2 linked regions of the Daphnia pulex genome follow. The protein of the gene in region 1 purifies or fractionates together with the protein of each later gene. This does not show direct contact. Links are inferred from orthologs where the notes say so. Each region holds a gene or a part of one and is shown in the gene's direction. Other genes may lie near its edges.

Region 1 (3,234 bases):
AACAACTTCTGAGTCATTCATAAAGATTCCGGATCGAGATAATTTCTTCAATGAGCTGGTTTGTATTTTGAAAGTCGAGAATTTCTTGAATAAACTAAAACAAATGTTTGGTAGTCGATTTCTACTGTGTTATATAATTTTCATCTGGCGTTTCTTGTTGACGTGTGACAACGTGGCGCTGTCTGCATTTGTTATGAGAAGTCGCTCAGCGCCATCTTGCGTTGGGAGCCTTGCCTACATGGTTGGAAAATAATTTGGTGACATTGTCAGTCAATTCAATTGAGAGAGTTGGCCGAGTCCCGTTGCGTTTTTTATTGCTCGAAAGCGCATTACGTGCATAATAAATGCAGTCGGATGAAAAATATTTTCCCGAATGATAAATATTGAAATGTCAAAAGTCTACGACTCTTCTCCGAAAAAGGTTTGGTCTGTCTGGGCTACGATGGGACGGCGATGACAAGGTCTGTTGACACAAGGACGTCAGATAGCACCAAACAACGCGATTCCTTGAATTTCTAATACAACAAACAAATGAAAAAGTCTCGAAATGGACCCTCAACGAAGATCTTCGTCATTGTCTCGTGGAAAAAGTCGGCAGAGCTCCCGGAAAACGTTTCGCATATCATTAATAATAAATCCCCGAATAGTTTGCCTTATTCGAAGGCTAAATATAGCTTGAAATTTCACTACAAAAAAGCGGTCAATGAAAAACTTGTGAATAACTTGATGTTGCGACCACTTTCGGCATCCTGGAAACAAGATACTGAATTGTTACGGTTTTTTTTAGCATCAATTGGTATCAATTACCATCACGAGAAAATAACGCGCACTTCGACAAATAATAGAACTTGGGTCAGAAATCAAGTTTTTTAAAGGTAAAAATCAGGAGCAGTAAATTAAAAACAGATTTCAAAACACACAAAAACAGGTCGGTCCTAGAGGGAAATTTACGCTTGCAAAAAGGGAACTGATTATTATGTGGAGCACGACGACGTGTTCTAGCGACATTCGCATTTCGCGGTACGATGTGGCAAGTACATTTCGTAGAAATGCATTTAGAAGGGCGTTGAAAAGCAGAAAGTTACGTTACAGGTGAACATTTAACTATATTTAATATAAAAAACAAATTGGTAGAAATATTTATTAATTAATACATTCTCTATCAACCTGTATTTTCACAGCAAAACATTTTGAATTTTGAATACGTTTGATTACAAATATAATTATGATTTATGATGCAATAATTATTTCAATGACAAATTTTTACTACAATTCTTAAATATCTAGTTACTAGTTGGTCAGTAAATTAAGCTTATTAGAAAAATCCAATTTTGAAATTTATTTTGGGTTCATCATTTTTGCGTAATTTGGCAACTCTGAATAAAAACCGCAGCAGCCGATCTAAAAATAATTCCGTATTGATGTTGTGATTTTCTTATTTTAGCCGATAAAAGTTTAATTCATTACGATAATGCCATCAGTTTTACTAACAGACTCTATTTCATTAGAGCTTGGAGGTAATCATTTTGGATATTTTATATTTTCACATTTATTTCTCACTTTTAAAAAAACCTAATAGCTTTGGAACCTTGGCCTTCTGACGTCAAACTTTATCAGCCCTATGAAGTTGAACAAATTCTATTGCAAGATCAAGCCAATTCTTTGGCTGTCCAAGTTTTTCTGCGAATGTGTGGTTTAGAATTTCAGGTAAATTGGAAAACTAAAACTAAGGAAATCTTAAGTTATTGATTTATTTCTTTTCTTAGGTGGAAATGAGAAGCAATGCTGAGCATATGTCACCATCCGGAAAATTGCCTTTCATAAAATGTGGTGCCTTTGTAGTAGCTGATCTTGACCCTGTTGTCAGTTTTGTGAGCAACAAGGTATTTTCAATATTTTCTCTACAATCCCATTTTATGACGTGTTTTTTTTTGTAGGGTATAAATCTTACAGATCACTTGGATGCTGCTCAAAAAGCAGACATGAGAGCTTACATGTCTTTAGCAAACAATATATTGGGAAATGCAGAGGTATTATATTATTATATTTGTAACTACTTTTGTGTGTTATGTGATTGATGAGCAGTGTTTGTTCCTACTTAGTTATATATCAGCTGGTGTGATGAAACTGTTTTGAATGAAGTAACTGGTCCTCGTTATGGCTCTGTCTATTCTTGGCCTTTGAACACTCTGCTAACCTGGAGAAAACAGAAACAAGTAACTAAGAAATTAACTGCTCTTGGCTGGATTACCAAAACACTTGATGAGGTGATTTGTTTGGTCTAATAGTTTTTGCATTAGAAAATTATTTATTATTTTCCTGCAGGTATATGAAGATGTTGATCATTGCTGTAATGCGCTAAGTGAGCGATTAGGAAACCACCTTTATTTCTTTAATGATAGGTATTAAATTTTTTAAAATGGGTTTCTAATAAAATAAGTGCTGACTTTGTTCCTCGTCATTAGATGCACGGAATTAGATGCGGTTGTCTTTGGCCATGTGTTTACTTTGCTGACCACACCGTTGCCCGACAATAGATTAGCATCCATTGTGCGATCCTACCCGAATCTGGTCGAGGCTTGCCAGTTCCTTGAGAAGACTTACTTCCAGAAACCAACCGCCAAGACAACGGACGATGACAGCGATAATTTTGACTAAGTTCAAATAGTATAGGAAAAGTTGTAAAGTTTATAATAGCCCCATACTTCTGAGATTTACACGCTATTATATTTCATTGATATGATATCCTTTAGAGTAAGCACACACGCGGTTATTAAATACAAGAGTAGAAAATTCAAAAAAATATAGTAAAGGGTTTGAAAAATGAACACTAGGTGGTTTGACTATGCTAGGGGAGGAGTGACACGTTTCAACGTTTTGCCGCTAGGGCAGAGGTTGGGAAATGAGCTGCTTACAGTCAGTTTGGGAACCGGGTTCGGAGCAGAAAATGGCGTCTAGCTTCCTGGACGATTTAATCTCGAACCCGTCAGCGGATGCCGACGCTGTCTCCGCGTTAGTTGGATCACTTGAGAGCCAGTTGAGTAATGCAAATGTTGGTGCTAGTAATAACACACAAGGCGGCGGCTTGGCTTTTACGACAAGCTCTACCTCGTCGGTTCCTCCACCGCTGCAGCCTGCCAATACCCCGTCCGCTGCCACCACAACGGCAACATTCGCGGGAAACGGCAGTAGCCTGCACGCAACAACAACTTGCGCGCCAGCAGCATCAGTTCC
Region 2 (4,065 bases), on another chromosome or scaffold:
AAAAGCGCGTTTGTAATTGTTCTAAAATCTTGACTCTTGACTTTTGATTTTTTTTTTTCATAAAAAGATTAGAATTTTGAATTGGGAATTATAATAGCTATGCCACCTAAAAAAGCAGCAGCTGCTGGTACATATAGTTTGATTAGTTTCCTTGTGAAATAGTTGTGTTTTTTAAATATTTGTTTACACCTAAAAGGATATGTCAGAATTCAGAAGTTTCTACTACTGTGAAAATAAGCGTTTATAAAGTTTCATTGACTATTTAGGAAAGTCGAAAGGTGCTGGAGGAGGAGGAGGAGATGATGACAAGGGTAAAGACAAAAAAGGAGGAACTGGGAGTACGATTAAGGTAAAATAAGATATATTTCAATAAAATAAGATTATGTTTTTAAATATTATTCTTGCATAGGTTAGACACATTTTGTGTGAAAAGCAATCAAAAATTCTAGAAGCACTTGAAAAGCTTAAAGCTGGTATGAAATTCAATGAAGTTGCTGCAACATACAGTGAGGATAAAGCAAGATCAGGAGTAAGTGTTAATCAATGTGTTAATCAAGTATTATGCTAATTGCTTATTACATTTTTTATTGTATATTAAAATAGGGGGACCTTGGATGGATGGTTAGAGGATCTATGGTTGGCCCTTTTCAAGAAGCTGCCTTTGCTCTACCAATTTCATCATTGGGTAATCCTGTCTACACAGATCCACCTGTTAAAACTAAATTTGGGTACCACATTATAATGGTAGAAGGGAAAAAATAAAAAAAATAAAAACAACATATTGTTACATGAATTAAAATTGCATTTTTCATGGTTTCTTCTAAATTCACTTTTACTATAAGTCAAAAAGCTAATTGAATTTCTTTTATGAATTAAACATTCATAAACATCCAAGATTATCCAAATTGGATCATCCAATGCAGGGTTAAATGTGATAGGCCTACATATCAGATGTAGATCATTCTGACTGGCATCTATATTGATTATACAAATTGTGAACAAATTTAAATAACAAATATGTTGAAATCTTTGGAAAATAGCAAAATATTCTTTCGAATTACATGAACAACATATGCTGGTGGTTGATTTTGCTCTAAATCTAAAATCTTTCACTTTCAAGTTATACAATAAACAAATTAGGAATTTATTTTCTAATGTTAGCCGAGCTCTGGATTAAAAGGAATGAGTTAATTTTCGAAACATTTTCCAAGAAAATTTGGGATTTGGCACAAAATGTGTTCACGTTATCTGATGGATGCTGTTTAACAAGAACTACTACTTGAGTCATATTTGTCGTCTGTTGTCCCTTAATTACTCCGAGACTACAACAGTGGCAGGAATATTTTCTTCCATCATTTGAAGATCCAAGGAAAAGTTAGATCATTTTTCAGGAATGTGGAAGGCACCAGTTAGAATTTGTTCTCAGTCGAAGGTATCATTGCAAAACGGAAGACAAATTATCCGCCGGAACATAAACAGCCGAAAATCAAATCAAATGTAACCGGTGTATTTTTTTCGTAAGTTGTTTTTATACCAGATGCTGTAATAATTTCATTTGTAGATCTGGAAGCAAAATTTTAACCATTGGTGGAGCTGCTATTCTAGCAACTGTTGGTGGTTCTGTTGTCTTAGCCAAAACAAGTGATGGTTTTAGGAAATTTTCTGAAAAAAATATTCCTGGAACCTCATTTCTGTTCAATTTACTACTGGGACCTTCAGTTTCCCATTTACCAAAACTTGAGCATCCTGTCAAGTATAATCAGTTTTGTTTCTAGACTTTTATTGATTATTTATTTAAACTTATTTGCTTCAGAGTAAAGGAAGATGGACTTTTAAAGAAAAAATTGGAACGAGAAGCACTCAAGAAAAAAGATGGTAGATAAACATTTGAATTATTTTCTTGTACATTTGGAGCAATTTTTTTCTCTCCTAGATGAGCTGCCCATCAATCCTGTGGAAGAATCAAGCCCACAAGAGCTACCCATATCCTCAATCGATTTACCACCCCCAGACTTCGATGTCATAAAATCTGTGGAAGAATTTTGTGACAATGATCAATCAAGTGTTGAAGAATCTTTAAATTTAGACCCAGAAGTAAACTGTTTTTTATTTTATTTGCTTATACCTTATGTTTGACTTCCAAATTGCATTCAGGTAAAAACAGATGAAAATATTAAAGTAGTAAATGAATCTGAACCTGATAGTTCAGCTGTAGAGGTGAGAAACTTTCAGATTTGTACATCAAAACTTCAAAAAACAAAAATCTTTAGTTATTTTTCCTATAATTTAGGTTCTCGAAAAAGTTGCAGTTAATTTATCAGAATTAACTCCCGCCGAATTTGGGGACTTGCTTAAGGAATTTCATGCCAAAGCTTCTGACGCTGTTAAAGAAGCTGTTGCAGCCCAAGATATGGCTGCATGCTCCATCAAAAGTAACCGTCTCCTAAATAATCAGACTAACAATTATTTTATATTATTTTATCTTTTGTAGAGCATGTTGAATTGGTCTTCAAGTCACTAGAAAAGATTTACGAGCCTGGTCAAACACATGAAAATATTTGGGAGCCGGTCTTCATGGCGACACACGATAAAAATGAAGCTGTGCATGTTGCCGAGTCTCGAGCTCATGATGCCAGAATGGCCGTAGCTCAGCTGAAAGAAGCTGTAGCTCATGGCTTAAAGAATGACCAAAGTATACAAACACCTGACCTAATTACTTTTGACGAAAGCGTTGCCCGTGCTCTCTATAGGTACGTATTTGTGAATGTTGCTTCAAAACCTCCAGTGGCTATAATGTTTGGTATTTAGTTTGGAAACTGCAAAAGCACGAGTTGAAGCGGCTCAGTCTGAAGCCAAAGTTATGGATGAATATCGTGAACTTGTTGATACTGCTAGGCACAACTTGCAGGTAACAAATTGAATATTTATCAAAAATTTATAACTTCAACGTCTTTGGTTTGCATTATTCAAGATGGAGTTATCTTCCATTCGTCCTGAATTGGCACCCAGTTTTAAAACCGAAGGTTCCAAGTTGGGTGAAGAGGAAATCAATATTTTGATGGCCCATGCCTATTGGAAGATAATAACGTTGCAAAAAGAACTAGCCAGGCAACAGGTTAGTTTAAATGTTTTTTTTTTTTTGTTTTTTGTTTTTTTACAAAAATTTACAGCAATTAAAATTTGTATATCTAGTCTTGTGAGCAGCAGCGCCTGAAAGGAGCTTTAGATACCCAGAGAAAAGAAGACCATTCGGTTCTGGAATCCCGTTTACGAGTCGAATTGGAAAGACAATACTACGAACTAAAAGCGAAATATAATCAAGATGTGAGTTATACCGCCCATTATTGTTTAAACAAATCATTCCATTAATGTGTGTGTCGATTTCTTTAACAGATTTCGTTTCATGAAAAAACCTTGTCGGATCAGTTTACTCAGCAGCTTAAACTCCAAGCTGCTGCTTATACTGATCACTTAAATGACACTCTAAAGACGCAACGTCTAGAACTAAAGCGAACATTTGATGCTGAACGTGAACTAGAAGTCGCAAAGTTGTTGGCGTCCCATCATGAAAACCTGGCGAAGCTTCACGGAATGGGCAAAGGAATTCAAGACGCGATCCATGACCGCGCCGAAAAGGACCGAGTTTCTCGTCAAGTTCGTGAGCTATGGATTGCAGCTCAATCGATGATCGAGTCCCTGCGCAGTAACAATTCAGTCCATTTGCCATGGAATGAGCAACGCCACCCTCTCAATCTGAGTAGTTTGAACAAAGCACTAAACAACAATGATGAATTTGCTCTGGCAGTCATCGAATCCATCCCACCAACCGCTCTAGATCAAGGAATCCTTCCCCAAGGTGCTCTGAAGGTAACGCCCTGAAATATTTTCTTGTTGAAGTATTTTTTACGTTTAAATTTTACTCTTTTTTTTTCAGGAACGTTTCTTGAATGTTGAAAGAGTTTGTCGACGTGTAGCTCTGATTGATGAGAATGGTGGATCGATCCTTCGTTATGCGCTCTCTTATTTGCAGGTTGATTTTTGTTTTTTTGTTTTTTCCTTTCATAC

The links.
Region 2: the proteins of metaxin-2-like (region 1) and MICOS complex subunit MIC60-like purify together in Homo sapiens (co-immunoprecipitation; 5 studies listed by BioGRID and IntAct, counting the BioPlex papers as one, with this or other methods). This does not show direct contact. The link is inferred for Daphnia pulex from reciprocal best matches to the Homo sapiens genes MTX2 and IMMT.

Annotation. Positions count from the first base shown.
Region 1 is NC_060026.1:12,796,497-12,799,730, reverse strand, and holds metaxin-2-like, read left to right. Parts: upstream 1-1,357; 5' UTR 1,358-1,471; coding exon 1,472-1,517; intron 1,518-1,579; coding exon 1,580-1,707; intron 1,708-1,766; coding exon 1,767-1,883; intron 1,884-1,937; coding exon 1,938-2,030; intron 2,031-2,102; coding exon 2,103-2,267; intron 2,268-2,325; coding exon 2,326-2,402; intron 2,403-2,465; coding exon 2,466-2,658; 3' UTR 2,659-2,734; downstream 2,735-3,234. Other genes in the region: transcription initiation factor TFIID subunit 4-like, read left to right, coding at 2,903-3,234. UniProt on the Homo sapiens protein: Involved in transport of proteins into the mitochondrion.
Region 2 is NC_060018.1:5,994,787-5,998,851, forward strand, and holds the start of MICOS complex subunit MIC60-like, read left to right. Parts: upstream 1-1,265; 5' UTR 1,266-1,393; coding exon 1,394-1,497; intron 1,498-1,561; coding exon 1,562-1,753; intron 1,754-1,813; coding exon 1,814-1,875; intron 1,876-1,933; coding exon 1,934-2,094; intron 2,095-2,154; coding exon 2,155-2,217; intron 2,218-2,290; coding exon 2,291-2,432; intron 2,433-2,491; coding exon 2,492-2,750; intron 2,751-2,808; coding exon 2,809-2,908; intron 2,909-2,971; coding exon 2,972-3,115; intron 3,116-3,192; coding exon 3,193-3,324; intron 3,325-3,393; coding exon 3,394-3,867; intron 3,868-3,934; coding exon 3,935-4,030; intron 4,031-4,065. Other genes in the region: peptidyl-prolyl cis-trans isomerase NIMA-interacting 4-like, read left to right, coding at 100-127, 267-349, 410-529, 604-762. UniProt on the Homo sapiens protein: Component of the MICOS complex, a large protein complex of the mitochondrial inner membrane that plays crucial roles in the maintenance of crista junctions, inner membrane architecture, and formation of contact sites to the outer membrane.